Arabidopsis thaliana: one gene and its partner. The protein of the gene in region 1 interacts with the protein of each later gene in a pairwise test. Each region holds a gene or a part of one and is shown in the gene's direction. Other genes may lie near its edges.

Region 1 (16,087 bases):
TGCCAAAACACTCGGCGAATGGGCTGGTGTAAGTTGTCTTCCTTTTTTATCCTTGAAGCTTTCTCTCCTCTAAGGAAGACTTTGATGGTAACTAATAATCTTCAATTTGGTTGCAGCTTTGCAAGATTGATTCTGAGGGCAATGCAAGGAAGGTTGTTGGATGCTCATGTCTCGTGATCAAGGTAACAAATCCTTTTTACATTCTCTTAATCCATGAATCATAGGAACCTCTAGATACTTGCAAAGTCATTGAGAAATGTGCCTGGTGGTTTATTTGTGTGGTTCTGTGTTGATTGTTACAGGATTTCGGTGAGGAGACAACTGCACTAAACATTGTCAAGAAGCATCTTGATTCTAACTAAATCAAGCAAAAAGGTCAAGTTTACAGATGCTTTCTTCTCAAAAGGAAACGCATTTTGTGGCCACTCTTTTTTTCTTTCCAGTCTTTTCTGTTTTTGACATTAAATACTCAGTAGTGGACATGTCTTGAGATTTGTTTGGAACATGAAAGTTTTGATGTTTATGTAGGTTCTTTCAGTTCGCTCATCAAGGTTTTATATTTTGCTTTCTTACCACGTAGTTCTACTTCCATTAAATGAAAATTTCAATTTCGGAAAAAAAAAACAAATTGACTTCTTGGTATACATAACAAAACCAAGCTAAGACAGACCTGTAGCAAGACCTAATTCTCCTAGGAAAAAAATAGTTTAGAAATTGTAACCAATCAGAAAAAAGGGAAAAAGAAAGAAAGAACGGGTTATCTATATAAGAGAGGAACTACAGATTGATCATTCCATTATTTTCTTTCGTTGCCATAGAAATTAAGAACCTCTCTCAACCCTATAAAAATCTGTCACTTGAGCATTCGGGTCTCTCATCTGGTGGGATTGTTTTTGGGTTTTGATTAGGGCTTCTTATTTGATTTCTAGTTGTTCTTTCTTGCGCGATGGGTGAAAGAAAAGGCTTGAACAAATACTATCCACCAAACTTTGATCCGAAGCAGATTCCTCGGATCCGAAAACCTAAGAATCAGCAAAGGAAGATTCGTTCGATGGTTCCATTACGTATTCGATGCAACACCTGTGGGAATTACATGTCGGAAGGTACCAAAATCAATTGCCGTGAAGAAAACGTAATCGGAGAAACCTACTTAGGGATCAAAATCCATAGGTTTTACTTCAAGTGCAGTAAGTGTTGCACCGAGCTGATATTGAAGACTGATCCAAAGAATTCGAGTTATGTAGCCGAATCAGGTGCAACTTGTGTTTATGATCAACACGAGGAGGAGGAGCAAGCCGAGGACGGTGGGGATAGGATGAGTTCTTTAGAGAAGAGAACTTTGGTTTCGAAAAGAGAGGTTGATGTAATGGCTGCACTTGATGAGATGAAATCTATGAAATCTAGACGCGTATCGGTGAGTGTAGACTCTATGCTTGAGGATTTGAGTAAAAGACACAAAGAAGAAGAAGAAGTTGCAAAGGAGGAAGATGCAGCGTTGATAAAGTCTACCAAATTTGGTAAGCAGAGGAGGATTGTCGACGAAGAAACTGATGAGATGGAGAAGACGAAGAAAGTAAGAATGGAGGCAGTAGATGAGAAGAAACCTAAGACTAAGAAACTTGCTTGCATTATAACCTTGAAGAAGAAGAAGACAACAAGTTTGGGACTCGCATCACTATGCCACAACTATGGTGCTGATGAAGAAGAGTGAATCAGGTCTGTTGAATCAAATCAAGATTCATGTTAGAAACTATCTTGTAGAGATTACTATCATGACTATTTTTGCATATTGAAGTATTTTTCTGCAATCTAATAACAAAAGAGTTTATTGTTTTAAGAATTACAACATTTTGGTTACATGATATTTTGGGTAAAAGTAGTTTCCATGTAAAAGCCTGCTTCATTCTTTTCAAGTAATAACAGGGTTGGAACTGAATACACAGAACACCTCTAAAGGTATATCACATTTTAACTTTTGATAATTATCATCATCTTCCTTAATTGGACTTCATCTCAACGTCTGCGTCATCTTTAGTAAGAGTATCTGGAGAATCTCGCGGTAAAAGACCGAGAAGAGGCAGAGGGAGCAATGAGCTAAGATTGCAGAGGATAATAAGTGTTGATAAGTTACCAAAACTGTCTCTTGTAATGCCGAATGCTTGAGTCAGTCCTGCACCCATAAGCCCACCTAGAACACTGCCTCCGTTAGAGATTGACATGAGTGTAGCGAACAGAGTTGCTTCCATTCCTTCTGGACATAATCTCGCTGCTAACACAAGAACCGGCATGAATGAAGCCTGTTACAGTTCGATTTTAAGCTGTCAGTGCATAGATATTGACAAATTCCAATAATGCTCCATTAACTATGGAATCACAAATTCCAATAATGCAGCCTTTGAAAAACTCAATGCTGACAAATATGTAAACCTGAGCAAGGACTGTTAGGATTAGAGAGTCTCCTATAGCAAACCATTCGTCGCTAATCCCCAACTGTCTGTTAAAACCTGACACGAGGATAACCTGCAAAACATAAGAACGGTCCCAAGAGTTATTGGTTGTGTAACAGATAATAGATGGCAAAGTTTTTCTTGTAAAGAGCGGACGGGAACCAACCTGAGTCATCCCAAGACCCGTGCCAAAAATTGTCGTCACGAGAAAGATTTTTCTCAATGGAACAGTCTTCAGGAATCCATTGTACAGTCCTACTCCAAGCAATGAGGCAATTGAGGTCACAAGTTTAACTCGTCCCAGAAACTCCGGGGTAAAACCGAGTTTGTTCGTTCTGAGGTGAAATTTGTACCAAATAAAATTAGTTAGAGACTAGTTAATACATTCCAGAGAATATGAAATAAGCCAATAACCATGAAGGCATGAACCAAGTGGAAGAGGACATACGTGAAGTAAAACATTGCAGAATCTGAGTGTGGTGTGGCTTGCCATAAGAATATAAATAAGGTGGGGAGAAAAACATTCGGTTGCTTAATGGCACCCCATAGCTGAATCATGTTCTGCTTTGAGGTCTGAAGAAAACCAGGACTGAGCAGCGTTATATTCTCTTTCTGCCCTGATGCTGGTCTGACCACACGTTGTTCATTCACGAGAACAGCAACTGCTGAAGTTATCAAGGGTAGTAAAGCTGTCACCCCAAATACAAACCTGAGGTATAACAGCTTTTAGAATGCCACTTAGTTAGTTAGCTATGCCACGGAATACCGAAAAAGAGAAAAGCTACTGTTTGCGCAAATTGTGAACTGTACCTCACACCATATGACTCCACCAGGGAGCCGCTAAAGTAGGAACTCACAATTCCACCAAAAGCTGAGGATCCCCAGCACAAAGACTGCAGCGATCCTGACACGCTTTGTGACTCACCACGAGCCCGTTCCACTACCATTGAGTCTACTACCTATTAAAACGTTAACCACTTAATTAATATTTCAATATATCCAACTCTATCTTGCAACTTAACCAAGCTAAGTTAACCAGAATGGATTTGAAAACTTACAACATCAGAAAAGGCGACAGAGAGGGAACCGAGAAGTATACAAAAAGCAGCACTATATTTACTGTCAACAAAACCAGCCATCAAACTCCAAGAAAATGCACCAAGAAGTCCCGAGAGAACTAGATATGACCTCCTTCGATAACCAAATAGAGGCACTGAATCACTGCAAAACAGACCAACTTCCTTAAACAGTTATCACAGTCAAGAGGTATAGAGGTGATAAAGAACTCATACCTGATAAAACCATAGAGAGGCTTAACAAGCCACGGCAATGAAGAAAGACCCGTTATCACAGCTGTCTAGTCAAGAGGTATATATTTGTCAGCCTATAAAGAGATATTCCCATGAAAGTCCAACAAGGAACTACAAAAAGCATACCTCAGCAGGATCAAGATGCAAGTCATCTTTTAAATAGAAACTAACAGCGAGCCTAGCGAGTCCTAAAACACCTTGAACAAAATACACCATTGCTACAGCAACATTATCTGGTGATAATTCAACACCGTAGAATTTGATTCTGCTGCTACTAAGATTTCTTCCTTTACGAGGGGGAGGCTGTGTTCTAATACTAGAAGTAGTATCTCTGTCTCCTTCTACATCTGTATTCGATGTATCTCCTTCAGCTACACCTATTCATATACACACATTTCTGAGGATTCAGTTAATGGAGCTTCGATACTTGCAAAACCTAATCCCAAATGCCAATTTCTGAGGATTCTGTTGCTTTAAGAACTTACTGATTCGAGAATCTAAAAGCAGGCTTTCCTCAGAATCCCGCCGGCGAGGAAGCTCCGGGATTGAAACTATGGAGGACATATCTCTATCAGGAGGTCTCTTACGAATCTTCCGGCGTGATAGTCGGTGAGATCGAGCGGCGATAGCAAGGCGTCGTCTCTCGTTGTTGATGGATGGCAAAACTGTAAATTGAGAAGGTGAGATTGAGATAGAGAAAAGAGAGCGACTCGCCATTTTAATATTCGTTCTTTTTTTTTTCTTTCTTTTCTTTAAATAAACAACACTCCGTCTCTTGCGCTACGTAGATAAATTAATTTTTCTTCGTCTTTTTTTTCGATTGATAAATTAATTTTTGATTTTTCTCATGAACTATATTAGCAGCTTATTAAATTTTTATTGACAAAATATGTATTGAACCTTATATTTTAAATAATTTTGAGTTTTAATGTCTTTTTATGTGATTTATTGTAAAAAAAAAAAATCAAATTCCAGTAAAAATATGAGATTTGAATTTTTATATATGTAACTAAATAAATCTTTTTAAATTTTCTCAAATCCTTTAAAATTAATAAAGAGGTGTATTAGATCTAAGTGTGTCAAAATGGGTAACACAACTCAACTCAACTCATAATCAAATGAGTTTAGGGTTAAATGAGTTATGGGTTGATCCAACTCATTTTGTTAAATGGGTTAAGTCAACCCATAACTCATTTAATTTAATGGGTTGAGTTGTTAAATGGGTTAACCCATTTAAGTAATAATTTAATTAATTATTATTATAAAATAATAATAAATAATTATCATTATTAATTCATTATCATCAAAACTTAATATATTTACGGATTCCACTTTTTACGGGTTTACGTTTTTGGCGGGAAAATCTCGGGTTTACGTTTTTGGCGGGAAAATCATGGATTTACGTTTTTGGCGGGAAAATCACGGATTTACGTTTTTGGCGGAAAAATTACGGGTTTACTTTTTCTCAATTTCATCGCTTGTATATTTAAGAAATTTGGAAAAATATTAATTTTATTAAATTGGTTTAGATGTGTTGGTTAGACTTAAATTGGCATTGGTTTAGAGATTTTAGTTGGTTTAATTCAATTTTACAAAATTTGATGGGTTAATTGGATAAACCATTGAAACCATTAACCATTACAACCCAACTCATTTTACTCATCAAACCAATTGACTCATCAACTCATTTGACTCATCAACTCATTTGAGTCAAAATTTTCAACTCATTAGGGTTCATGGATTGAGTTGAGTTGAGTTGAGTTGACTCATTAATTTGGACCTTACAATTTGAGTTTTAGCTAGTTTTTATATGAGTTTGATGATTTTAGGAAAATTGATGTGATTTATTATAAAATATTTTAAAATTCTATATAAGACCATGAATTTCGATTTTGTTATTTTTAACTAAAGAACTTTCTCAAATCCTTCAAAATTAATAAGAATCAAATCTACCAATTATTTTCAATAACAATAGATTTTAAGATAGAATTTTAAATCTTTAGTTCAATAATACTAGATTTCATTAAAGTTTTTCAAATCCATAATCGAACAACATAGAATTTATAAATTTTACACAAATCACTTAAAATATTAGATTGAATACATTCTTATAAAAATCAAATCCATAAATTATTTTTAATAACAGTGAATTTAAAGGTAGATTTTTAAATTATTATTTTAATAACACTAGATTTCATTAGAATTTTCAAAATCCATAATTAAATAACATATACTTGTAAAATTTACGAAAGTCACTTTAAATACTAGATTGAATATACCTCTTTTAAATCAAAAACGATGAATGGATGGTAAATATACGGTTCACCCATACCCATTATAAACCGTCTTTTTCACACCTTCCATTCAACAAGAACTAATTGTTGCGTATTTGACCGATCGAAGCAAGAAGGAACGTTCTGTTTATTTTCTTTTTTGTTAAAAAAAAATCAGTATTTAAATCGTGATTTGTAGAAGAAGTATTATCATAATGCCTCTACACAAATCTGTAAGAATTGAGAGAGATAATTTATTTTAAAGAATCCCAAAGAAGCTTCAAAGACTCAAAAAGGAAAGTAACCAAGAAAAAGTCAATGGAGATGGACTCAACTACTACGATCAAACCGGAGACCCTATCCACCGTGAGTTCCTCACCTCCGGAGAAAATCCATCTCCGGCCAATGACTCTTTCCGACGTCGACGATTTCATGGTTTGGGCCACTGACTCAAACGTCACACGCTTTTGCACGTGGGAGCCTTACACTAGCCGAGAAGCCGCGATCGCGTACTTAAACGACGCTCTTTTGCCACACCCTTGGCTTAGAGCTATATGCTTAGATAACGACCGTCCGATTGGCTCGATCTCCGTAACGCCAGTCGATGAGATCAGAGGAGAGATTGGTTATGTCCTCGGAAGCAAGTATTGGGGGAAAGGGATCGCCACTGAAGCGGTGAGGCTTGTGGCGGGGGAGATATTCAAGGAGAAGCCAGAGATGCAGAGGCTTGAGGCACTTGTTGACGTTGACAATGTTGGATCTCAAAAGGTTCTTGAAAAAGTTGGGTTTGTGAAAGAAGGTGTGATGAGGAAATTTATGTATCTTAAAGGAAATGTTAGAGATATGGTCATGTTTAGTTTCTTGCCTTCTGATTCGTTGCACTGATCTGATTTGAATTAACAAATATCAAATATATATATTAAGTTTGTTTGATGTCGAAATTTATATTTTGCTTAGTTTGTAAAAATCACATGTATAATTTGATGTGATGCTCTATCTTTCTTCTTCTTATGTAATTGTTAGTTGTAACCTTATATATTAACTATTTCATACAAAAGTTATTTTTTATAATTTGAGAGTAATGTATTTACTATTTACCATGTTCACTTCACCAAATAAAACAAAGCTTCACTATCTCAGAAAAAATGTAAGTTTATATTGAAAATTAAAAGTACAAAATGAAACATGATATATATATATATATTTTCTTTTTGAATCTAAACATGAAATATTTTATACAATAAAAAGATAGTGTGATAGCTAGTTTTACAGCGATAGATGAATGGAATTCTGATAACATTCGATTAATTAATCTTTAGCTAAATTACTTAATCATACAACATGTTGAGTGACTTGATTCTTGAGTTGATTTTGACAGTATATAACAAACGATTACGATCATTTGCACCACAAATATTAACAGTATTAAAATATTTAATCCATTTAGAATAACTTGAGAAACAGTTAAATCCTTTTTGGGAATCAGACCACACACGATTTGACACGTGGCATTGTGGGCATCCAACTGGAAGCAACACATTAAGTTCCGAAACCAGAACAATACTTTGTTTGGCAACCAAGTAAGTGTCGAAAGTCCAAGGTCAAATATAGACAATTATCCACTCACACGATGACACCTCATCTTATGTCGTATATTTAACACTAAATACACTTATCTATAGCAAATGGTAATATTTAGTGTTTTTTTAGTCAAAAGCAATAAGGGAGAATCTCAAAGTTTTTCAAGATCGCGATGTGTATAAAGACATCGCTTAGACGTAGTGATATGATATCTAAAACAATCACTAATCCTAAATGGAGATGGACTCAGAAGAAACTAATCCAATAATGAGCTCTTCGCCTCCGGGAAGAATATCTCTCCGGCCGATGACTCTTTCCGACGTCGATGACTACATGGTTTGGGCCACAGATCCTAAAGTGGCTCGATTTTGCACTTGGGAGCCTTGCACGAGCCGAGACGAAGCTATCAAATACATAACCGATCGTGTCCTGACACACCCTTGGCTCCGAGCCATCTGCTTAGAAGACGACCGTCCAATCGGCTACATCTTGATCATGGCGGTTGATAACATCAGAAAAGAGATTGGTTATGTCCTAGCGAGAAAGTATTGGGGAAAAGGGTTTGCCACGGAAGCAGTGAGGCTAGTGACCGCGGAGGTATTCGAGGAATTTCCAGAGATTGAAAGGCTTGAGGCACTTGTTGATGTGGACAATGTTGGATCTCAAAGGGTTCTTGAAAAAGTTGGGTTTACTAGAGAAGGTGTGATGAGGAAGTTTATATGTATCAAGGGAAGTGTAAGAGACACTGTTATGTTTAGTTTCTTGTCTACTGATACTTTGAAGTAATTAATCAACAAAAAGATTAATTAGCAATTCTACATATATATGTTGGATTTAGTGTATGATTCATATACGTAATACATGATGTAAACACTCTGTTTTTCATTTGCCAAAAAAATCTATAAATCCTACATTGTAAATTACGAAACAATTAAAGTCAGTGCATGAGACAGAAGTGAGGTTAGAGGGATCATCCGATTACAAATTGATAGGTAGAGAAGAGTTTTAAAAATCAAAGGTTAATAGAAGCGTATAAACGAATAATGTAGAATGTAAATAAAACAATGGGATTCGTCCTGTATCCATAAAAAGGTTCACATACTCATCCAACAAGCAAAAGAAAAAAAAAGCAAAACATCCCATGGTCCTTGGGATGAGAACTTAAGAGCCAGACCAGCTTTGTTAAAATAACACAGGATATTAAAAGTATTTGTAAAATTTGAATTATGAATTTATGTAATTCAACAAATTTACTATAAGTAGTACGTAATTAATTTATTATGATTTCTCCATATTTCTTAAATTAAAGTAAACAATCTTTAGATTCCCCTGAGTTTCTTCTTCTTGTTGGAAAAATGAAGTTTACTCGTGCGTAATTCGTTAAGAGAGAAGCCCATGTGGCCCAAATTTAGGGCCCGTGTAGTGGAGGTTTCGTTATAAAGAATCTAGTGAGAAGTGAAGTGAGCAATTTCTTTTCTTTTTTTTTTGTTATGAAGAAAATAATCTGGAAATAAGAAATTACAAGAAAAAATGGATTTTTTTGGGTAAAAAAAAGAAGAAGAAATCAATCATCACTGTGCTTGTGTGAGGCTAATTTCGTTTCCCACTTTCAAAGGACTAAATATATTACTAATACAATTTATTTTAACTTCTGTGGTAGAACTAAAATATATTTGGCCTATAGATACACATGCATATCAAAAAAAGTTATTTTTAGGTTATGTGAATAAAGACTCCACTCCGTTCAATATGTCTGACCAGTCAGTCCATATAGGATATACGCATATAGTATGAAACAATTTATTAGTATTTGAAATCACTATGTAAGTATGTGATATTTTCTGTTAACCAACAAAAAAATTAGATTCATTTACTAACTAGCTCACTAAACATATGTTTTTAGGAATTAAAAATAATCTTAGCTCCAAAATTCGATAAGACTATATAGATATTTTACCTTTAAATAGGTACAAATTTGGAATGAACCGCAACATTTATCGAATTAGATAAAATATCAGAATGTCCACTCCTGTAAATCATAGCTGATGGACTTTAATTTTAATAGGATTGGAGTAATAGTTAAAGGTATTTAAGTAAATCATTTCGATATACACTTCTTGTTCTGGACCACATATTCCATTCCATTTTTATTTATTTGTTAATGTTAGGTAAAAATAGGGGTTTTCATGAAAAAAAAAATAGAGCTGATCATTGTCTCACTTCACATTGTACAAGAATGTTTTTATTTTATTTTTAATTTGGGTTTAAAATAAATAACCCAAAAAAAAAGGGAATTTAGAAGTGTTGTTGTAATCACGAAAGCTGAAACAAGAGAAAGCATGAGCAAATAGGAAAAAGAGAAAAGCATGAGATTACACAATACACTCTCTGCACTTTCATACTCTTTTTCAATCATTTCATTCTACATTCACATCTTTACACTATTCTCTCTCTTACCTTTAATATTTCAAAACATAATATACAAATTTCATCTGATTAAATTACAGCTTATATACTCAAACTAATGATTGAAAATTATTAAACCTTTTGCACGCAGTGCTACAAAAAATAATGCAAAGGTATTTGAATGTTGATATTTTGACTAATTGCTTACAATTATAACTCTTTATGAGATTGCAGAAAAAATAAAACTAATCATTGAATTTCTGTATTCCAATACATAGAATCAGAGAATGAGTGAGCTTCGAGGTTATCAAGAAGCCCTAACTTTTTCAGTACAAAGATCATCACAAGACGTTATCTTTTTATTCTTTTCACTTTTCCTTTGTAAGAAAACTATCATAATGAATGAAATAATTGCTTTTGCTGTATAGTATTTTTGTTACACTTATTAAACGGCTAAATCTTACTTATACAACAAGCATTACACTATCATTGTCTCGGGAACACACTTCAATTTACAATAATAATATTATCAAAAACTATCCCTAAAAAGACTGATGAAGAACTAAAAAAAACCTTCCATCTGTCAGTTTAATAATCCTGCACAAAAACAAGTTTTATTAAACTGTTGTTACCTTATGAGTAGAATCAAACTGAATTAAATTGTGATTACAAATTAATTATTACCTACACTGTAAAATTTACTTTTAACTCCTACTCCTGACATGATAAATGAAAGAACCGGTTTGATATGCGAAATTCTATTAACCAAGACAAAATTACAATCCTTTATACACCTGTAAACCGGAAATTCAACCGTTAAAATCAATCGAAACCGAACCGGAAACAGACATAGGAAGAGAAGTTGGACCAACCTGTTATTTGTTTCCTTTGTGTTAAAAGGAGCAATGAAATGTCTCCATCATCCACTCCTCAAGGCTTCAACATTCGAACAAAAAAAACTTTAATTGACCTGACAAAAGCCGAAACAAATTATATACCATAAGTGATATTAATATGATGAAGAATCATATACAATTATAACTCTTTATGAGATTTCAGAAAAAAAAGATCACACAACAAATCTTGGTGTCAAGAAATCTTCCATCATTAATATTATTGCTGATGATGATGCAGAGACAATATCTTATCACATTTTCGAATCGAAAACACGAAAACAGATCGCTTTAACGGGTCCATTTTTATCCAAATCAATGTGATGTGCCTTAAATGATATGAGAGGAACGTGTGGATTATACTTTTCTTGGCTGATACATAATAAATGCAGACCTGTCTCATTGGACTTAAGTCTCTATTTTGAGTTTCAGGACCACAACTATTACTACTAGTCTACTCCTACTAATGGACTACATTGGCTTTGATCAATGTCACTGACACTACATTCTATCTGCTATCTCCTAATTTTATGGTTAGAATTATAAATCTTATGAAAAGGAGATGTTACCGTAAAGAAGAAGGCTTTTCAATTTTCTTTTAGAAAAATGTTAGCTCGGTGTATCCGCGGGCGTAAGGTAAGAGTTCTTCAGCTTCGACCCGTGCAGTGGAGTGACTATTGGTTCGCTTTGATCTCTTGTGATTTGACTCAACCTCTGCGCTGAATATGCCATAAACCGGTCTATGATCAGAAAACCGTGACTCCCCTCTTACATAAGATAACTGATGTAGTCCTTCTCCATGCCATAGTATTCGATCACACCTTTAGTAACATAACCAAAAAATACCATTTTTAGATCATTACTTGGTTCTTGTTTATTATTCTGATTGCAAGAAACTTACCAAGCAGGAGTACGACGTTTCTCCTTTGGATGCAAATCACCTCCTGCATATCTATCCGAGTTATTTGAGTATTTGTAAGTTGGTGGGAAGTATATCTTTCCTTCGTTCCATCCTTTAAACACATGTCCTCGTTTCTGCTCTATCCGTAACTGCAGTGAAAACGTTTTCAAATGTTTTGGATTAGACCATTCTATAAAGTAAAAGTAATGTGAAACTCTATAGTCTCTATTGCTTTATTTGTCTACTACGTATACCTGATCGTTCTCTAGTAATGCCCTCCAGTTTTGCATCTCGACAAGTGCTTTTGCGGATCGGTAAGAGAGTGCTATTCGGTAGTTCAGATCCCCGAGCCATATTACCCGACTAAATCAAATGGAAACAAAGACAAATGAGAAATGTAACAAATCATGAATCTTAAGCAAATGATTCGATTCTTGTCATTTCTTGATGTTCGGTCTTACTCATGCTGAAGGATATTCTCAGGGGACTTCTCGTCCGCAGAACTCTGGACTCGAGGAAACCTTGTTTTCTTGAGTATCTCCATGACATCGGAGTTTCTCCTTAGCTCATCACCTTCTTTTTGTCCCGAGGTCAAATGGGTGCACACAAAGCAGAAGCTTGTTTGATGAAGCAACATACTAATTGAGATTGATCCCTACAAGAACCACAGAAGCACATTATAGCAATGCACTAACTAACCAACTAAGTCAAGCGGTAACAAACATAAGATTTTTTACCTTATTTCCGAGATAACCCATTAATCCTCTACCAACACAAGATACTTTCATGTTCTTGACGTGTTCTCGTAACTCGCTTTTCACCCAAATGGTTAAAAAGATACCAACCATCTGTTTACTTGCGACCAAACAGTACTGCGATGAGTTCCACGGGGTTCTGTAACCGTTTTCGTTTGCTGCAGAACCAAGAAATGACCCCGGTGAATTCAAAAATGTGCTTGGAGAATCCCCTGGGCCGTTATCATCATCCGAGGAGCCCCACCTGGAAACATCACTAGGCCGAGAATAGTTACTCGGCCTAGAGTAATAATCACTCGGTCTAGAGTAATCACTAGGCCTTCTTGAGTAATCACTAGGCCTGTGACCACACCTGAAGCTCGGGTCAAAATCACTTGGTCTATGACTGAAGAATACGCGATCACACACGCTGAAACGACGGTCAAGCCGTGGTTGTGAGATCGAAGGGTCATTCTCCTCCATACTCCATACGCTCGGCGTCTGGAAAGATCTTCTGTTGAAGAAAGTCTCGTTCTTTTGCCTTGAAGATCCTGAGAAGTCAGCATCAATCTCTGCAATGGGGACAGGAATAGGCGATGGAGTATGGCATGCACTGCTTGCTCCGGGAAGGTTATTGAGCGTTTTCCTGATGAGTGAATGCCATTTCTTAGCAGGACCATTGTCTTCAGCTCCAAGAACATTACCAGCATTAAGAGGAACAATCTCTTGGAACCTAAAAGAACACACAAGATAAGTAAGAACAAAAAGAGACATTCTTGAAAAGAAGATGTAAAATGGAAACACACCCGAGAACGTATATATCTGCAGGAGCTGAAGAATGAAGCCATTCGTCGAGGTTTAAATCTTCAGGAGGAGAGCGTCCAGCAACGTTCCATGTAGCTACGAAGATGCTGTTCTCAAGAATCACCAACATGAGATTCTACTAAAATAAGTCACATATGTGTGTGTGTGTGTGTGTGTGATTGTGTTCATATATATGTTACCTGTGGTTTTGGACATCAATGATTCTGGGATTTTCATAGTTCATTTTCCTTTGTCTAGCTTGCTGCTCCCAGTTCTTATTGAGTTTTTCTGTGAAACTCAGAAATCATGAGACCAAAGAAGAAAACTCTCTCATAGAGAATTTGATCATATTGGTAAATGATTATATACCAGTTTTGCTCTTCTTGATTGTGCAGGGCTCTCTCTCTGAGAAGCTGTTTCTGTGCTCAACTTCAACTCCTTATTGAATAAAAGATCAGAATTTGAAATCAGTACATAACAAGCCAATTGCTAATTCTTTAATTTCCACAGAGAAGAGTGGTTAAAGCAAAAGAAACAGTAACTGTCAATTGACCCCAAAAGAAAAGAAAGAAAGTGAAACTGAGATGTTTTGTTTTCTCAGAAAAGACAAAATATTACAAATTAAAGCTCTGCAGAACAGAACAAAGAAACAAAATTTTGACAAGAAGTAGACTTTTGGTTACCTTGAGGAAGAGAAACATCTGCTTGAAACTTTTCAGTTTTGCTTTTGATGTTGAACCATTTCCTCACCATCTTCTTGGACCATGACAACTTCATTGAAGCATAAAAAAAAAGAAGGTAAATGAAACTGTTCATCTGTAAAATTCATGAAAGATGGCAAAGAATTGAAGAAACATAAAAACAAACCTTGCTTTTCTTGGTTTTATCGTCTCTCATTCTTGCTCTTATTTGATTCACTGTTTGTTCTTGAGACTCAATCCATCCAAAAAAAAGAAGACAATAGAGATCAAATCAACTAATTTGGGGTTTTTAGTTGAATCACTGTTTAAAAAGAATTGACAAGATTTGGCTTCTTTCTTGTCCTTTGATTGAATCAGACAGAAGCTAAAGTAAAGACAAGTTGGATTAGGATTAAAGTGTTTTGTGTCTCTCTACTAATGCTCTCAGGGACAGGAATTAGGAAATGGGTATAGTGTTTTGAGACAAATGAGAAGTGAAGATTGGTTTTCAGAATAAGAAGGAAAAAAGTTGTTGGAAGAGACAAGAGTTCTTGAAGGAGGAGGCAAAGAAGACAATGAGAAAGATTTTGGAGAGAGAGGAAACAAACAAAAGTGTGATTTGAAGAGAGAGTGGTGGTTTAAGCTTTTCTACTTAGGTCCTGAATCTTCTTCTTCTTCTATGAAAGAGAAAGAGAAAGAGAAAGAGAAAGAGAGAGAGTGAGTGAGCGAGCCTCGTTCTCAGTGAAACGGCAAAGTAAAAGCAGAGGATTTTGAACAGAATAAAGCGCAGAGAGAGAGAGAGAGAATGAGAATGAGCTTATTATAAGGAACCTTCAATTCTTAGATTAATCAGTAATCACTTTTTTTTTTTTTGGCTGAGTCTAAAATATTAATTAGTCAAAAAAAGTTTTTTGATTTGATTAGAAGAAATTAAGGGAGGCTTATTCAATTGTTTTTGTTGTCTTTCCTATTGGTAATGGTTTGAATAATTAAATATTGTCCTTAACGATTTTGTGCTTCTTGGTCATAAACTCATAAAATATCCCTATTTTAAAATTTTGATTAGTAGTATTTCATTTTCATATGAATCGTCTTAAAAATATGCTACTTGTTCATGTTTTAGTGATTTCTTTATTTTCATCACTCACAACATTGATAATTTTTTTTTACGTTTTTGATAAATGATTATTTTGAAAATATGTATATTTCGTATTTGTATTTCTTGTCGTATATCCTTGTATACATGCTTAGGGCAATGTTTTATATAGGCCTACATCTCTTATAATATAAATCATTGGAAATCCACAGAAATTTCCATATGTACTTCCATTTTCTTATAAAACATCTTGTCTAGGTTAATAATACACTATTATATTTTAATTTTTAAATAATGATTCTGAACAAAATATAAAAGCAATAGTAATTATGTTTGATGTGATTATAAAACTAATACTAAATAACTAATAAATTTATTTTGAATTAACTCCTTCATAATCAACTTAAGAATATGAGTGATGCTAGGGAATCGAGAGGTCTGTGTCTGTGTCTTTGTATCATTAATAGGTCGAAGAAAACCTATAAGGTAACAAGATCATGACGGATATTAAATCATTAGACCAAACACACACGCAAATTAACAATCATTTTGAAAGTTTTCAGTTTGTAAATGCTAAACGATGTGATCAACGTCTATAACCAAATGAGCATTACATAGCCTTCCATTCAACAACAACTATAGAAAAGAGGATTAATTCCACACAACTATACACAAGCATAAAGCAATTAACTAATTATATAATACTCACATATATATATATATATATATATATATATACATGTGTGTGTGAACTGTGAAATGAATTGTAAAACATGATGAATCTTGTTTGCTTTTGACTGCCTCGTAAATGTTGAAATTTTAAGGATATTAAAGGGAGTCTTCCAAATCATTTTGGATTAGGAAGGAGCAAAAAGTTAATCATTATATAGTATTATAGAATCAACTAATGATGCATAATACTACACTATTATAAATTTATAATATAGCAAAGTTTTTCTATA
Region 2 (16,606 bases), 3.2 Mb from region 1:
CTCTATATAAACTCCATCTCTTTTCTTGAAACTTCCCAACAAAACATTTTTCTCTCTTTTTCCACACTTCATCTAAAACCCTCCGGCTCGAACAGAAGCTTACAGAAATCACATCAATGGATGTCACCAAGAGCCTCCTCTGCTTCATCTCTTTCGTCGCCTTTCTTCTCTTCTCCTCCGTGGCAGAAGCCAACAAAGCACACCACCACGAGTTCATAGTACGACCGCGTTTCAATAATATGAACGTTTTTTATCAAAATGTTAATCAAAATGTAAAAGAAGATGTATGCTTACATATAATGTTTATGCATGCAGATACAAGCGACAAAGGTGAAGAGACTATGTGAAACACACAACAGTATTACAGTCAATGGAATGTTTCCCGGTCCAATGCTTGTAGTCAACAACGGTGACACTCTCGTCGTCAAAGTTATCAACCGGGCCCGGTACAACATCACAATCCACTGGTAATACACGATTTAAACCACACTCTCGTGCTTTTAGTGATTAATGGGCCCGTTTCTTTACTGTATTGAACGGTTTGGTGTGGCTATCATCTATAGGCACGGTGTGAGGCAGATGCGAACCGGTTGGGCTGACGGACCGGAATTTGTGACCCAATGCCCAATCAGACCGGGATCAAGTTACACGTACCGGTTTACAATTCAAGGACAGGAAGGTACACTTTGGTGGCATGCTCATAGTTCGTGGCTTAGAGCAACTGTCTACGGTTCACTTCTCGTCTTTCCTCCTGCTGGTTCGTCTTACCCATTCACAAAACCCCACCGCAACGTCCCTCTCCTTCTTGGTAAAATTATACTAAAAAATCATAATTAACAAATTCAGTGTGATCATAGTTAATAAATAGGTGATTTTGATTCTGATAATTTATGATTCTTTAAGGTGAATGGTGGGACGCAAATCCGGTTGATGTGTTGAGAGAATCTATACGAACCGGAGGAGCTCCGAATAACTCAGACGCTTACACCATCAATGGTCAACCTGGCGATCTCTATAAATGCTCTTCTCAAGGTTTTACTCTTTTTCTTCAAATTAATTTTAATTTTATCAACTGTCCAAAAACTTGTCCCATATATTTTACCCTGTTTTCTCCCAACTGTCATAACTGACTTTGGTATCTTTTAGTCAAAATAAAACACATCAGCCCAAAAGACTCAAATAAGTATATTAACTAGACTTTTTTATAATCTTTTGGTTACAGATACGACAGTAGTACCAATAAATGTTGGTGAGACTATACTACTACGAGTAATAAACTCAGCATTAAACCAACCGTTATTCTTCACGGTGGCTAATCACAAACTCACGGTGGTCGGAGCTGACGCGTCATACCTAAAACCCTTCACCACTAACGTGATAGTTCTTGGCCCGGGACAAACCACAGATGTCCTCATAACCGGTGACCAACCACCAAATCGCTACTACATGGCCGCAAGAGCTTACCAAAGCGCCCAAAACGCACCGTTTGGAAACACAACCACAACAGCAATCCTTCAATACAAATCCGCCCCTTGTTGCGGTGTAGGCGGCGGAAGTGGAACCAAGAAGGGTAATTCCTTCAAACCGATCATGCCTATCCTCCCTGCCTACAACGACACAAACACCGTCACACGTTTCAGCCAAAGCTTCCGGTCACTTAGACGAGCTGAGGTTCCGACAGAAATCGACGAGAATCTCTTCGTAACCATCGGACTCGGTCTCAACAACTGTCCTAAGAACTTCAGATCAAGAAGATGTCAAGGTCCTAACGGCACACGTTTCACTGCATCGATGAACAACGTTTCATTTGCTCTTCCAAGTAACTACTCACTCCTTCAAGCTCACCACCATGGGATCCCCGGAGTCTTCACAACCGATTTTCCGGCGAAGCCTCCGGTGAAATTTGATTACACTGGTAACAACATAAGCCGATCTCTCTACCAACCTGATAGAGGGACTAAGCTATACAAACTCAAGTATGGATCAAGGGTTCAGATTGTTCTTCAAGACACAGGTATAGTAACTCCCGAAAACCATCCCATTCATCTACACGGCTACGATTTCTACATTATCGCCGAGGGTTTCGGTAACTTCAATCCCAAGAAAGATACCGCGAAATTCAATCTTGAAGACCCGCCTCTCAGAAATACTGTCGGTGTACCTGTTAATGGTTGGGCCGTCATCAGATTCATCGCAGACAACCCTGGTAAGCTAAACTATTAGTATAAAAATACTACTAGTTATCATTCATTACAAGTGTTACTTATTTTTATCCAAATTTCTTCGCTTTTCAGTTTAGCTATAAAATTTACATGATTCGTTAATTTATTATATATATATCGAGACTAGTCCCTAAACTAAATACGTGTAAAAATGATTGAAAACAGGGGTCTGGATAATGCATTGTCATCTAGATGCACACATATCGTGGGGACTAGCCATGGCTTTTTTGGTTGAGAATGGAAATGGAGTTTTGCAGACAATAGAACAGCCTCCTCATGATTTGCCCGTTTGTTAGGAGTTCAAGAACTTTGTAACATAAAACCACATTATAGTTTTTCATGTTCTTCTATTCAATTGTTTTTTGTTGGTTATAGACGTAAACCGGGTCATACTCCTGAGTTGGCCCGGACCCTTCAGATTAAGTTTTCTCGATTATTGATGTATTCTTTTGACATTATAGTACCAAATCAAGTGCTAAGAGCCTAAGCATACGTATCATGAAAGTTTATTTTTTTCGTTTTTCTTTATGCTTAATTGACCCATTACTTCGATTTCTTTTTTTTTGTTAAAAGGTTTCATTCACTCGATTTGTGTATGACTAAGAGCATGAATTTGATATGTTAGAATTAGAATGAATGGTTGTTGAGCTAAATTCCTACTTATTTCCATAATCAGCTTAGAACTTTTGCGATCATAATAAACAACATAATTTGTTGGCGTAATATTTGCTGAGTCAATATTGAATGTTGAAGTTATAAAGAAAGAAACTTATCCTAATTCCATTTTGTTTTAAAACGCATTGCTATGAATTGATGAGTATTATTCTTTTACGTAACATTATTGAATTTGAACTTGAGAAGATGATAACGAAATTAATTGAAAAAGAATAAGTGAATATGACATCAAGAAAAAGTGGCCTGAAATTCCAAATTAGTTGAGCAGAAAAGTTTGGGGCAAAGTGATTTCCGACGCGGATTAATCATAACATCGACATTACTAGAAGAAACAAAAGTTGTCATGACTTTGTTATATTTTTGAGTACTCAGAGGGCTAATTTTATAACAAATGTAACAAATGATAATAATAATATAATTCTTACACATGCATGTTGCCACTAATCTACCGAAATATTAGAGTAGACAAGAAATTAACGTGTAATAATTTGTAAGAACTCCGATTGTCATATTTGATTTAATCCATACAAAAAGGTGAAAATCCAAACTAAATCTTACCGTAGAAAATAAAACTTAGGTCGCGAGTGTGAGCTTAGCTATAAACACGCAAAATATATAAAAGAATAATTGATCTTTTACATGATAGATATTCATAAATTTTTAAGGCATTTGCAAACCAATTAAATACTAAAATAAATAGCAAACTAAACTCATTTGTCATCTTAAAACCTAACATATATATTTTAAAATTCACTAACCAGATAATATCTATTATACAAATTTTAATAATTGTTAATTTATATTGGCGAAAATCATGATATATAACTATTATCAGACACTTTAGAATTGGATCAACCAAGAAGAATAAAAAAGTTTTAATCACAACCAAAAAGTCTATTTGTCGTTTTCACTTTTCACCATTCATCAAACACCACCACAAAGGTTTTAAATTTTTTCTTTTATCGTCTTCACGAAAGGCCCATTAGTATATAGGTCCATTATCTAAAACCCTAAATCTCTTGTTACGCATTCCCATGCCTTGTTCAATAAAAAATTATTCTCAGGCCCATTAGAGAGTTACGACTTCAACCTAAAACCCTAAATCTCTTGTTACGCATCCCCTTGCCTTCTTAAAACAAATTTCTTCTCAGGCCAAAACTCGCCTCTGGAAGCTCCGATGACGAAGAGGAGCAAAGGAGCTAACGAAGATAAGCTGATAGAAACCAAAAGCAAAAACGTTTCTGGAAAATCTCAGAAACAGAAGAAACCAGTAGAAGCAGAAAGCTTAAAAGAGGAAGACCTTCTACAAGCATCCGGAACTGATTCTGATTACGACGGAGATGTATTCTTCTTGCTCCTCTTCTCTTTTGTAACATCTTTATTCTGCATTTGATTTATTCTGGTTTTTTTTTTTTGGGTGATTTTTAGAGTTTGCCTGGTTCTTTGAATTCCGACGATTTCGACTCCGATTTTTCCGATTCAGAGGATGATGGAACACATGAAGGAACAGAAGATGGAGATGTAGAATTTTCCGATGACGACGACGTGCTTGGTACTTTTCTTACTCTGCTTTTCGTCTAAATTAGCTCAAATCTTAAATTTTTAGTGTTTATGCTTTTGAATTGAAGAAGCTAATTATAGTGTGTTAGAAAATACTTGCGGGAGTTTATAATGGGGGAATAAAGTTTCTAGCTTTAACATGGGAAAGTAAATTCAAGTAAGAGAGATTAACTATGTTAGGATATGTTGGTGCAGAGCATGATGGGTCAATTGATAACGAGGATGATGATGGAAGTGAACATGTAGGTAGTGACAATAATGAGGAACATGGGAGTGATGAAGATTCTGAGCGAGGTGAAGCGGTTGAAGAGAGCGATTCCTCAGAAGATGAGGTTTGATGCTTTTCTCTATCTCATATTGGTCTTGAATCTATCTTTCTCCATTTCCAGATGAAGTTATAGATATTTTTGTATCTTTAATCTGTAGGTTCCATCTAGAAATACAGTTGGGAATGTTCCCTTAAAGTGGTATGAAGATGAGAAACATATTGGTTATGACCTCACTGGGAAGAAGATTACTAAGAAAGAAAAACAAGATAAACTCGACTCTTTTCTTGCAACTATAGATGACTCTAAGACTTGGTCAGTATGAAGACTTTTCTGTTTGTTGGTATGTGGTTAGTTGGTGTCATAATGCTGATGAAAGTTTTTGGGGATTTAGGCGCAAAATTTATGATGAATATAATGACGAGGACGTTGAGCTGACTAAAGAGGAGAGCAAGATCGTTCAGAGAATACTCAAAGGGGAAGCTCCACATGCGGACTTTGATCCATATGCAGTACGTATCTGTTTTATGTGTAGCCGTTTTCTACTAATGTTATGCAAATCTCTTCAATTTGTGACCTTTTGATTGATTCTCTTGGGACCAGCCTTATGTTGAGTGGTTCAAACATGATGATGCAATACATCCACTCTCAAGTGCACCAGAGCCCAAGCGAAGATTCATCCCTTCAAAATGGGAGGCCAAAAAGGTTGTTAAGATTGTTAGAGCAATACGTAAGGGGTGGATCAAGTTTGATAAGCCTGAAGAAGAGCCCAATGTATACCTTTTATGGGGTGATGATTCGACATCTGATCAAAAGAGCAAGCATTTAACTTATATTCCTCCACCCAAGCTTAAATTGCCAGGTGAAAACTTTTCGCTGACTTTCTGTTGTTTCTCTTCCTCTCTTGGGAATTCCGTTTTCAAACTTTTAATTTGTACTATTTGGCTTTCCAGGACACGATGAATCATACAATCCTTCTTTGGAATATATTCCAACAGAGGAGGAGAAAGCCTCATATGAGTTGATGTTTGAGGAAGATCGTCCAAAATTCATTCCTACAAGGTATGTAACAGTTTCGCTTATTCTACTCTAATGTAGTTTCTTTGGTATTTGTCCGCTGAGCGTTTCAGTAAATATATCTGCGCATAGGTTTACATCTTTGAGAAGCATCCCTGCGTATGAGAATGCACTGAAGGAGTCTTTTGAGCGTTGTTTGGATCTATACCTATGTCCAAGAGTTCGAAAGAAGAGAGTGAGTACTTATCATCTCAGTTTTTGGTTTCTTCTTTGTTTTTCCCGTATTTTTTCTTACATTATGTTTCTTTTCTCCAGATAAACATCGACCCTGAATCTTTGAAGCCTAAGCTACCTAGTAGGAAGGATCTTAGACCTTATCCTAACTCCTGTTATCTTGAATATAAAGGCCATACAGGGGCTGTTACTTCAATATCCACTGATAGTTCTGGCGAGTGGATAGCCTCAGGTATTTCATTATTTTTTTTTTTTTTCAATGAGGTCTCTTTTGTTTTCAAGATGCTAATCTTGTATTCTTTTTTCCTTCAAAGGTTCAACTGATGGATCTGTCCGTATGTGGGAAGTGGAGACTGGTAGATGCCTTAAGGTCTGGCAGTTTGACGAAGCTATCATGTGTGTGGCTTGGAATCCTCTTTCCAGGCTTCCAGTTTTAGCCGTTGCCATGTGAGTGAGGATCTTGTGAATATGCTTTTGAATTTATTATAATTGTCTGTTGTGAAACCTTCTCATCTCACATTGCAGGGGACGAGATTTGTTTTTTCTGAACACTGAACTTGGGACTGATGAGGAACAGGAAATTACTAAAGAGAGGCTTCACTCAGGAAACATCCCAGAACCAGACGCATCTGGTAAGTGGCTTGGAATAACTGCCATCATCTCGTATGTAATTGTGATGAAATTCCAAATGATTAAATCTTTTTGGTTGGTATGTTTTGCACGACTTCATAGTTGCAGCAATTGTAACCTGGCTACCTGATGAGTTATATGGAGGGATTAAGATAAGACATTTTAAGGTACACTTTTGCAAAAGATTCTCCTTTTAACAGTTATTACATAAGGAAAATCTTAAACTGGTTTGTTTACTTTCAGAGCATATCGTCTATTGACTGGCATCGTAAAGGAGACTATCTCTCAACAGTGATGGCATCCGGGGAAACACGGGGAGTGGTATTGCACCAACTGTCAAAACAGAAAACACAAAGGCTCCCATTTAAGATTCGTGGACTTCCAGTCTGTACACTTTTTCATCCCAGCCTTTCTTACTTCTTCGTTGCGACAAGAAAGGACGTGCGTGTTTACAATCTTTTGAAGCCAGGCGAGGCCACCAAAAAGCTTGAGACAGGATTGAGAGAAATCTCATCAATGGCGATTCATCCTGGTGGTGATAATCTGATAGTAGGAAGCAAAGAAGGGAAGATGTGTTGGTTTGACATGGATCTATCTTCGAAACCATACAAGACTCTCAAGAATCATCCTAAAGACATTACAAATGTGGCAGTTCATCGATCATATCCGTTATTTGCTTCGTGCTCGGAGGATTCAACAGCTTATGTTTTCCATGGAATGGTGTATAATGATCTGAACCAGAATCCTCTGATTGTGCCATTGGAGATTCTAAGAGGTCATTCTTCAAAAGGAGGTCAGTTTTTACAGTGTATTTGATTCTTACAAGAATACACTATCGCATATTAACTTGTAAGATCGTTTATATTAATGTGTTTTGATTATTTTTTATGACTGCAGGAGTCTTGGACTGCAAGTTTCATCCGAGACAACCATGGCTATTCACTGCAGGCGCTGACTCTATTATCAAACTCTATTGCCACTAGATTGGTCGCAAACCATATTTTGACAATTTTCATCTCTTTTCTTCTTTGTTGTATTCACCACCTTTACTCAAATATTGTATCGTACAATTTTGTTATACTGGATTTATTATTGAGATTTCTAACTTGTAGCACTTCCAAAATGGTAAAGTCCAAAATCTTATTGTATCGATTTATTTGGCAGCGTTGGTTAAGTTGTGGCAAGTCCTTAAACCCAAATGTTGATTTGATAGTTTTTTAACGTTCACTCACAAGCGCCACGTCATCACCGAAATATCTGAAATATCTAATAAAGGCTTCTTCTTTCACAAATCCCAAACCTTTTTTTTTCTCTGCTAACGAAAAAAGCCATCTTCTTTGCTACTACTAATCTACTATTACACTGAATCGTTTGGGTTCTTCTTCTTCTTCAGCTGCTACTTTGTTCGAGTGATTGCTGACATGCCGTCAGCGTCGGAGATTGTTGACAGGTTTGTTTGTCCGTTTTTTTTGTTTTTGTTTTCCCGCTTGTGTATGTGTGCTAATTGTTCATTGTTAAAGATTTTGTTTTTACAGGATTGTTGTTGTTTTTGAGTGGTATCAAGTTCCTTAAAGTAACTTCTTTTGTTTGTTTAGTAGTTGAAAGCTAGAAGGTTTTCACTTTAGGGTTTTTGGGGTTTTTCGTAGACAGAAATTTGTTAATTTTGGGCACAATTTGTCTCTTTTGGATTACGTTCTGTGCGATTTGTGGCTTCGAGTTCGTGTGGGGTTAAGAGACTTGGAAATTAGAGGATCTTTAGCTGGAATAAACGTTAAATGTGGTACCTTTCCTGAGTTTGCTCTGTTCTAATTGTGGTCGTGATGGGGTTTCTTTTTATTCGCTGTGATGCTGCAGATTGTGAAAAATTCTTGTAGCTACTTCGGTGTTGGTAGATTCTGTGATGCTTAAAAATTGTTTCTTTGAAGGTGCTTTGATCCCAAGTATAGTTGAACATGTTGCTTTAAATCTTGTTAAGAGAAAAAATGGGACTTGCTTCTGTGCCCAATAGTTCACGAGCATGTTGCTAATCTTGCTTCTATGCCCAGGAAACGGAAGTCTCGTGGAACACGAGATGTAGCTGAGATTCTAAGGAAATGGAGAGAGTACAATGAGCAGACCGAGGCAGATTCTTGCATCGATGGTGGTGGTTCAAAACCAATCCGAAAGGCTCCTCCAAAACGTTCGAGGAAGGGTTGTATGAAAGGTAAAGGTGGACCTGAAAATGGGATTTGTGACTATACAGGAGTTAGACAGAGGACATGGGGTAAATGGGTTGCTGAGATCCGTGAGCCAGGCCGAGGTGCTAAGTTATGGCTCGGTACTTTCTCTAGTTCATATGAAGCTGCATTGGCTTATGATGAGGCTTCCAAAGCTATTTACGGTCAGTCTGCCCGACTCAATCTTCCACTGCTGCCACTGTGTCAGGCTCGGTTACTGCATTTTCTGATGAATCTGAAGTTTGTGCACGTGAGGATACAAATGCAAGATCTGGTTTTGGTCAGGTCAGACTAGAGGATTGTATTGATGAATATGTTCTCCTAGATAGTTCTAGTGTATTGTTAATCGTAGTTGACTATTGTGAGGTCTTAAGTTGTAGATTGAAAATGAGATAGCTCATATGGAGCTTTATTGAAATGCAAGAAAGTAAACAAAGGAAGATCTTTAGATTGTCACCAAGAGTGGTCTGAAACTCTCATAACACTCAATCCTCCTCCTCCTCATCACCACCACTACAAAATATTATATTCTCTATCTCTCAATCTATGAGGAGATGTATTCTATCAAGCATTTGAAATGATAAGAAACTGGCGATCATCCTCTACGTCACCATCACTCCAAAATTATCCTCTTTCTAGGTTTAAGTTTTGTAATGATCGCCTTTATTTGTTGAGATCTCTAACTTCTCGCATTTCCAAAATGTTAAGTCCAATAACTGCATTGGTTAAGTTGGGGCGTTACTAGTCGGCTTAAATCCAAATATGGATTTGATTCCATATGTATGTGACAGTTTCTTAACGTTCATATTACAATGAATGATGGATCCTTGACTAGACAAAGAGAAAATGGATTGTCACTTCGTAGGAAAAATAGAAATTCTCCACGAAGGCTGGTCTCCTTTATTTAACGACAAATTCACTCATAGTCTCATTCACAATTTGAACTTGTCTAACACAATGTGTTATATACTCGCGAAAAGAAGCATAATAGGCTCTTAAGGGTAATCCACGAAACCAAAACACATATAAAACATTAATATTTTTCTCTAAATTTATTCATATCAATAATAAAGTTTACAAAAAATATAAAACAATAATCCATACTTAGCCCATAGCTTCGTGTGGAAGAAGACTTGATTTTTGACTAGTCAACGAAAATGAGTAAATGACGTATTCAGCTATAGTAAAAGGGATCATAAGCGGAAATTACAAAGAAGCTTTGAGGGTAAAATAGTCAAAAAGCATAATCAGAAATAACTTAGGCCCAAAGCAAAAAGGAAAGGACTCTGGATCCAGCCGCAAATCAGAATCTGGTAAGTTCGAACGCCACGTCATCACCTAAATATCTGAAATATCTAATTAAGACTTGTCTATATATAAAGGCTTCTCCTTTCACAATCCCAAACCTTTCTCTTCTCTGCTAACGAGAAAACAAAAGCTATCGTCTTTGCTACTACTACTACTACTATTATTACATTGAATCCTTTGTGTTCTTCTTCTTCAGCTGCTACTTTGTTCGAGTGCTTTCTTACATGCCGTCGGAGATTGTTGACAGGTTTGTTTGTTACATTTTTCGATTTTTCTCCGTTTTTTTTCCTCTCTTCTGTATGTTTGCTAAATGTGATTGTTCATTGTTAGGGTTTAAGATTTTCTTTTTATCGATTTTTGTTGTTTTGTGTGTATATCCTCCAAGTTCCTTTGTTTGTGTAATAGGTGGAAGCTGAAAGGTTTTTCAATTTTAGGGTTTTTGGGGTTTTTTGTTGACTGAAATTTGTTAATTTGGGGCACAATTTGTCTCTTTTGGATTGAGTTCTGTGCGATTTGTGGATTCTAGTTCGTGTGTGGTTAAGAGACTTGGAAATTAGAGGATTTTTAGCTAAAATAATCGTTAAAGGTGGTACCTTTCCTGATACAGAAGTTAGATTATGGATTCTATGTTGAATCTTTAGGTGATTCTCTGTTTCTGAGTTTGCTCTGTTCTAGTTTCTTAATCTGTTCGTGATGGAGTTTCTTTCTTGCTCGCTGTGATGCTGCAGATTATGAAAACTTCTTCTTGTAGCTACTTCGGTGTAATTACGTTCAGGTGGTTAAAAATTGTTTCTTTGAAAGGTGCTTTGATCCGAAGTATAGTTGAACCTGTTGCTTGAAATTTTGTGAAGAGAGAAAATTGGAGTTCTCGAGCATGTTGCTAATCTTGCTTCTATCCCCTTTGATTCTACCAGGAAAAGGAAGTCTCGTGGAACACGAGATGTAGCTGAGATTCTAAGGCAATGGAGAGAGTACAATGAGCAGATTGAGGCAGAATCTTGTATCGATGGTGGTGGTCCAAAATCAATCCGAAAGCCTCCTCCAAAAGGTTCGAGGAAGGGTTGTATGAAAGGTAAAGGTGGACCTGAAAACGGGATTTGTGACTATAGAGGAGTTAGACAGAGGAGATGGGGTAAATGGGTTGCTGAGATCCGTGAGCCAGACGGAGGTGCTAGGTTGTGGCTCGGTACTTTCTCCAGTTCATATGAAGCTGCATTGGCTTATGACGAGGCGGCCAAAGCTATATATGGTCAGTCTGCCAGACTCAATCTTCCCGAGATCACAAATCGCTCTTCTTCGACTGCTGCCACTGCCACTGTGTCAGGCTCGGTTACTGCATTTTCTGATGAATCTGAAGTTTGTGCACGTGAGGATACAAATGCAAGTTCAGGTTTTGGTCAGGTGAAACTAGAGGATTGTAGCGATGAATATGTTCTCTTAGATAGTTCTCAGTGTATTAAAGAGGAGCTGAAAGGAAAAGAGGAAGTGAGGGAAGAACATAACTTGGCTGTTGGTTTTGGAATTGGACAGGACTCGAAAAGGGAGACTTTGGATGCTTGGTTGATGGGAAATGGCAATGAACAAGAACCATTGGAGTTTGGTGTGGATGAAACGTTTGATATTAATGAGCTATTGGGTATATTAAACGACAACAATGTGTCTGGTCAAGAGACAATGCAGTATCAAGTGGATAGACACCCAAATTTCAGTTACCAAACGCAGTTTCCAAATTCTAACTTGCTCGGGAGCCTCAACCCTATGGAGATTGCTCAACCAGGAGTTGATTATGGATGTCCTTATGTGCAGCCCAGTGATATGGAGAACTATGGTATTGATTTAGACCATCGCAGGTTCAATGATCTTGACATACAGGACTTGGATTTTGGAGGAGACAAAGATGTTCATGGATCTACATAAGATTTCAAATTTCGTTTGACTGGCCTAAGTTTGTGATTCTGCTCCGAGACGGTGTAGCTGTTACTAGCTAGAAGCTGCCCTTCTTTGAAGCTACTGATACTTTCTGATATTAATGGTTGTGAGACGTAGTACATGTAGTTAGGTAATGTAGGACAAGTTCAAATATGATTCCTTCTTTCTTTTTCTTGTGAATACATATGACATATGAAGAAGTTCAAACGTTGGGTTTAGAAAAAGTTTATAACATTCGGTACATATCAAAGTTTTGAACTTCGGATGCATATAAGCTATAAAGTTTTGATCTTTGAACTTTGGATACTCTCACATCTAATTTTCATCCTTAAGAATGGAGATGGAATAATGCGATGTTGCGTAGTGGTTTTATTGACTTGGCAAGTTTTGATTATTCAAGAAACTTGGCTTAGTTTAATGGAAATATCCAGTAGTGGAGTTTTTTGGTCTGCAGACTTTCCTCAGGTTGTCTGAGATTACATAAGCAATGAGGTATGAATAATAAAGTTATCATTAGAGAGTTATCTATCTGTATTTTCTACAAAAGGCAAATTGGGTATTTGAAAGTGCAAATGGGACATAGTTGTATATTATTTAAAAGGCTTTAACTATTCCATTCTGGTCTCCAAAATCGTTTTTCTTGCTCGAATCTTGAAGATCTTCTAAGCCTTTAGAAAAATGAAGAAATCAAGTTGGCAAACTGTTAATTAATTAAATCCAATGAATTGGTGGGTATTGCACCTCCACAAGTTCCCTTTGACAATGTGTCCTCTTCTCCGCAAGAATGAGATGCAACTATTTTGGACAATTTCTCCTTTTAATTACTTTTTGATCGATAATCTTCTCTTAATATCACGTTGTAATCTGATTCATTCAAATATCTATCGAAATTTAAGCTTATCTTTGATTTTTTCGATACTTATTTTTGAAATTTTAAGTGCATTTTGTTTATAATCATAGTTGGGGATTTAATAATTTTAGGTGGAATAATATTTTATGCATATTGGAGATTTATTTCTCGAGAAATATTCACAAACAAACAAACAACCGGCTTTTGCACAAAAATAATAATGACATGGAGTCGAGTTGTTTATACTAATGTTTGTCACTATCTCACCATTGGAATTTAAATCTTGGATATATAATACATGTTTTGACAAAAAAAAAAGTTGGCACAAATTATGTTGTTGTAACAAAATACGTCTGATGCATTGATTTGAGATTGACTCTTTGAACCCAAAAATGTATCACCGTAATATTAATACATTTTCCACATCAACTTGTAATCTATTTGTGTTCAGTAATATATTGGTGAGTGATTATGTCACCTAACCCGAAAGCTTATAAGATGAGCAATCTTTATATCGAGGATGGTGCAAAAAATAGCAAATTGTAACTTTTTGTCCTTCTTATTCTATAAAATGTCAGATATAATTAGTACTGCAAATTGCTCGCTTATTCGTATTAATCTTAACAACTAGGGCTACTTGGGAATATGTATAGTTGTTGGAAAAACTAATGCATTAGATAACCCTTTATTATTTTTCCCAATTGTGTTTTGTTATTATGCCCACCACTCAAATCCAAGAGTCCAATATATTCATATGATTTGAATATACGTTTGTGGAAGAAAACACACCCAAGAAATATTGTCCAATTCGTAAATTTCCCTGACTTTACGTTGGTTACTTTTAGCAAACTGCTTAGTTTGATTTTCTTCTAATTCGTCTTATTAATATTCTGTTCTTTTCTTTGTTGAAAAGGAATTTGATTAATACTTTTTTTAGTATCGTCGAAAGGCTCAAGTTGATTACAAGATGAGGAAAGATTATTATGATGGACCCATGACATGATATCTTCACCAACTTGGAACATTGAAAGTCCTATGGAGTTATTTTTGAAATTTTTACCTTAGTCAGAAGGTTCCAACAAAATTAAAAATCCACCAAAAACGCATCCAAGAATAGTACCAACTGAAAATAGATCGGCAATCACAAAGACAAAGGTCGGTCCTCCCAACCAATTTGTTTCAAGAATTTTTTCAAACCTATGCATAAATTAAGTATAGCTCTTAACCAATATATATAGCTTAACCAACTCGACACATAGTGATCATGTTCTTATAATCTTTAATAACGTTTTAGAGTTAGCTATATATATAGCCTCGAGACAGTAGAAGATTGAAATATCTATGCAAAACCTCAAAGATAATGTTCAATGTTTTTATATTCTGAATATTGATATAATCGGTGAGATAGAGATGAGTTCAGAATTTTTTTCTCGGTATCTTAAATGATATTGATTTCATTTTCTCAACTTTCATTCAAGAGTGTTTTTGGTTAAAACATAAAAACGTCCATTCTAATTATAGTAATGCTTGTGTGGTTACGACAACATGCTCATTCATTGTAATAAACTGGTGAAATATATAGCACCATTGACAAATAGACAGCCTCAGTAACAAAGCAAGGAAAAACAAAATTAAAATTTAATAACCGGTTATATTAAATATCGAGAACCAGTCCGTAGAATTTCATGGGAAACCGGGCCGGTCCTTGATATAAAGAAAGAGAGAGACGTTTCTTAACTGAAGCAGTACACAAACTCCAAACAAATCCCAAGTGGACAACCGAAGAACCCACACAAACTAACTCTCTTTCCTAATCCACATACTTGCATTTTTATATATAAACACTCTGTCCTTATATAGTTCTGTATATTACATGTAAATATCTCTCATTAATACAACCTCACGAAGAAAACCATTTGTTTTCTTAGAGAGAGCCAAGAATATTAAAAGAGATATAGAGAAAAGATTTGCTTTAATAATGCCAACGTCGATACAGTTTCAGAGATCCTCCACCGCCGCAGAAGCAGCCAACGCCACCGTAAGAAACTATCCCCACCACCATCAGAAACAGGTTCAAAAAGTGAGCCTCACGCGCGGGATGGCTGATGTGCCGGAGCACGTGGAGCTTTCCCACACGCACGTGGTTGGTCCTTCTCAGTGCTTCTCCGTCGTGGTACAAGACGTGGAGGCTCCGGTTTCCACAGTCTGGTCGATCCTAAGCCGCTTCGAACACCCTCAAGCGTACAAACACTTCGTGAAAAGCTGCCACGTGGTTATCGGAGACGGTCGAGAGGTTGGGTCGGTGAGAGAGGTCAGAGTCGTCTCTGGTCTCCCCGCGGCGTTTAGCTTAGAGCGGCTTGAGATCATGGACGATGATCGCCACGTCATCAGTTTCAGCGTCGTTGGTGGGGACCACAGACTCATGAACTACAAGTCGGTGACGACGGTGCATGAGTCGGAGGAGGACTCCGACGGCAAGAAGAGGACACGTGTCGTTGAGTCATACGTCGTTGACGTACCGGCGGGTAACGATAAGGAAGAGACTTGTAGCTTTGCTGATACTATAGTACGGTGCAACTTGCAATCGCTGGCTAAACTCGCCGAGAACACTTCTAAATTCTCGTAATTACATTTTTTCAATCTTTTTATTTTTATTTTATTTTCTATATTTCTCTCTTTCAAAATTTATCTTTTATTTTTGGGATTCTCGAGGTGGTTTTGGATTTTAAGATTTAAGTATTTAACTATCGTCGGGGATTTTTCGAAACTAAAACAAAAAACAAGAATTATATCAAACAAGATGGTTTTGGTTTTTCGAAGTTAGGGTTTTTAGGGTCTGTTAAATGTATGTCTCAACGATACTTTGGTTTTACCCTTAAAACCATTTCTTCTTGTACAGCTCTCGTAGCTTTATTATATAAACATTGATTGTTTAGTTATTTTCATAATCTTCTTCTTGCGCCGTATTTTACATATTTATTATTTGTCTTTTAATTTAGTTAATCATGAAACAATATAGACTATATAGTGATTCAGCTATAATGCATGGGGTATATTGTTACGATATTTCCGATATTATTATGTCTAATTTCATTAATTTTGATAACCTACATAATAATGTATTACACAAACAATTTGATTAATATAATCATTGGCATATCTACTATATATGAAGAGATCTGAACAATTGTGGGCAATCAGAAAACCCATACATGTGCTGATTGAGATGATTCGTTTTCCTTTATGTTAAGAGAAGAACAAAGTAAAACTATACATCATTTGAATTTTATTGAAATGTATAAACAGTAGAATACTACTTGGTGTTTTAAATGAATTTGCTCACCAGCTATATAATCAAAGCGTTCAATCCTAAAAGCAAAGATGGAATAATATCAATTAGTGATAATTAAACTTGAACCAAGGCGTAATGCATGTATTGAGTTATGTGATATAATCTTAAGAATTTTCTTTATGGCATATATAATGCTAGGCCAAAATAAATGGTGTCAGGTAATACAGCATTATATCTTTAATTCCCTAATTTGGAAACGTAAAATTTTCAAATTATTTGTCATTTCATCAACAAACTTTACATAAATACGTAAATGTTTTGTTTTTACTCACCAAAAAAATAAATCAAAATTATTTACATACCAAAATGATAAAATTTCTTAGTTCCTTTTATAGTTTTGGGATGCG

What was found.
Region 2: the proteins of AT2G32020 (region 1) and AT2G40350 interact in a two-hybrid assay, tested with the Arabidopsis thaliana proteins (one large-scale study listed by BioGRID).

What each region holds. Positions count from the first base shown.
Region 1 is NC_003071.7:13,623,503-13,639,589, reverse strand, and holds AT2G32020 (Acyl-CoA N-acyltransferases (NAT) superfamily protein), read left to right. Parts: upstream 1-7,660; 5' UTR 7,661-7,845; coding exon 7,846-8,397; 3' UTR 8,398-8,610; downstream 8,611-16,087. Other genes in the region: AT2G32060 (Ribosomal protein L7Ae/L30e/S12e/Gadd45 family protein), read left to right, coding at 1-28, 117-182, 303-362; AT2G32050 (cell cycle control-like protein (DUF572)), read left to right, coding at 947-1,711; AT2G32040 (Major facilitator superfamily protein), read right to left, coding at 1,998-2,297, 2,428-2,520, 2,614-2,782, 2,896-3,156, 3,258-3,406, 3,506-3,668, 3,740-3,804, 3,884-4,134 and 1 more; AT2G32030 (Acyl-CoA N-acyltransferases (NAT) superfamily protein), read left to right, coding at 6,349-6,915; CVL1 (CVP2 like 1), read right to left, coding at 11,509-11,731, 11,812-11,960, 12,066-12,174, 12,273-12,466, 12,549-13,278, 13,352-13,456, 13,550-13,637, 13,719-13,787 and 2 more.
Region 2 is NC_003071.7:16,844,104-16,860,709, reverse strand, and holds AT2G40350 (Integrase-type DNA-binding superfamily protein), read left to right. Parts: upstream 1-7,906; 5' UTR 7,907-8,025; coding exon 8,026-8,054; intron 8,055-8,641; coding exon of another isoform or gene 8,642-8,649; coding exon 8,650-9,115; 3' UTR 9,116-9,276; downstream 9,277-16,606. Other genes in the region: LAC5 (laccase 5), read left to right, coding at 117-218, 316-467, 564-808, 904-1,032, 1,223-2,206, 2,388-2,518; AT2G40360 (Transducin/WD40 repeat-like superfamily protein), read left to right, coding at 4,075-4,239, 4,326-4,449, 4,653-4,789, 4,884-5,038, 5,118-5,235, 5,327-5,585, 5,677-5,785, 5,873-5,975 and 6 more; DREB2C (Integrase-type DNA-binding superfamily protein), read left to right, coding at 10,860-10,903, 11,043-12,045; PYL6 (PYR1-like 6), read left to right, coding at 14,886-15,533. UniProt on the Arabidopsis thaliana protein: Putative transcriptional activator that binds specifically to the DNA sequence 5'-[AG]CCGAC-3'.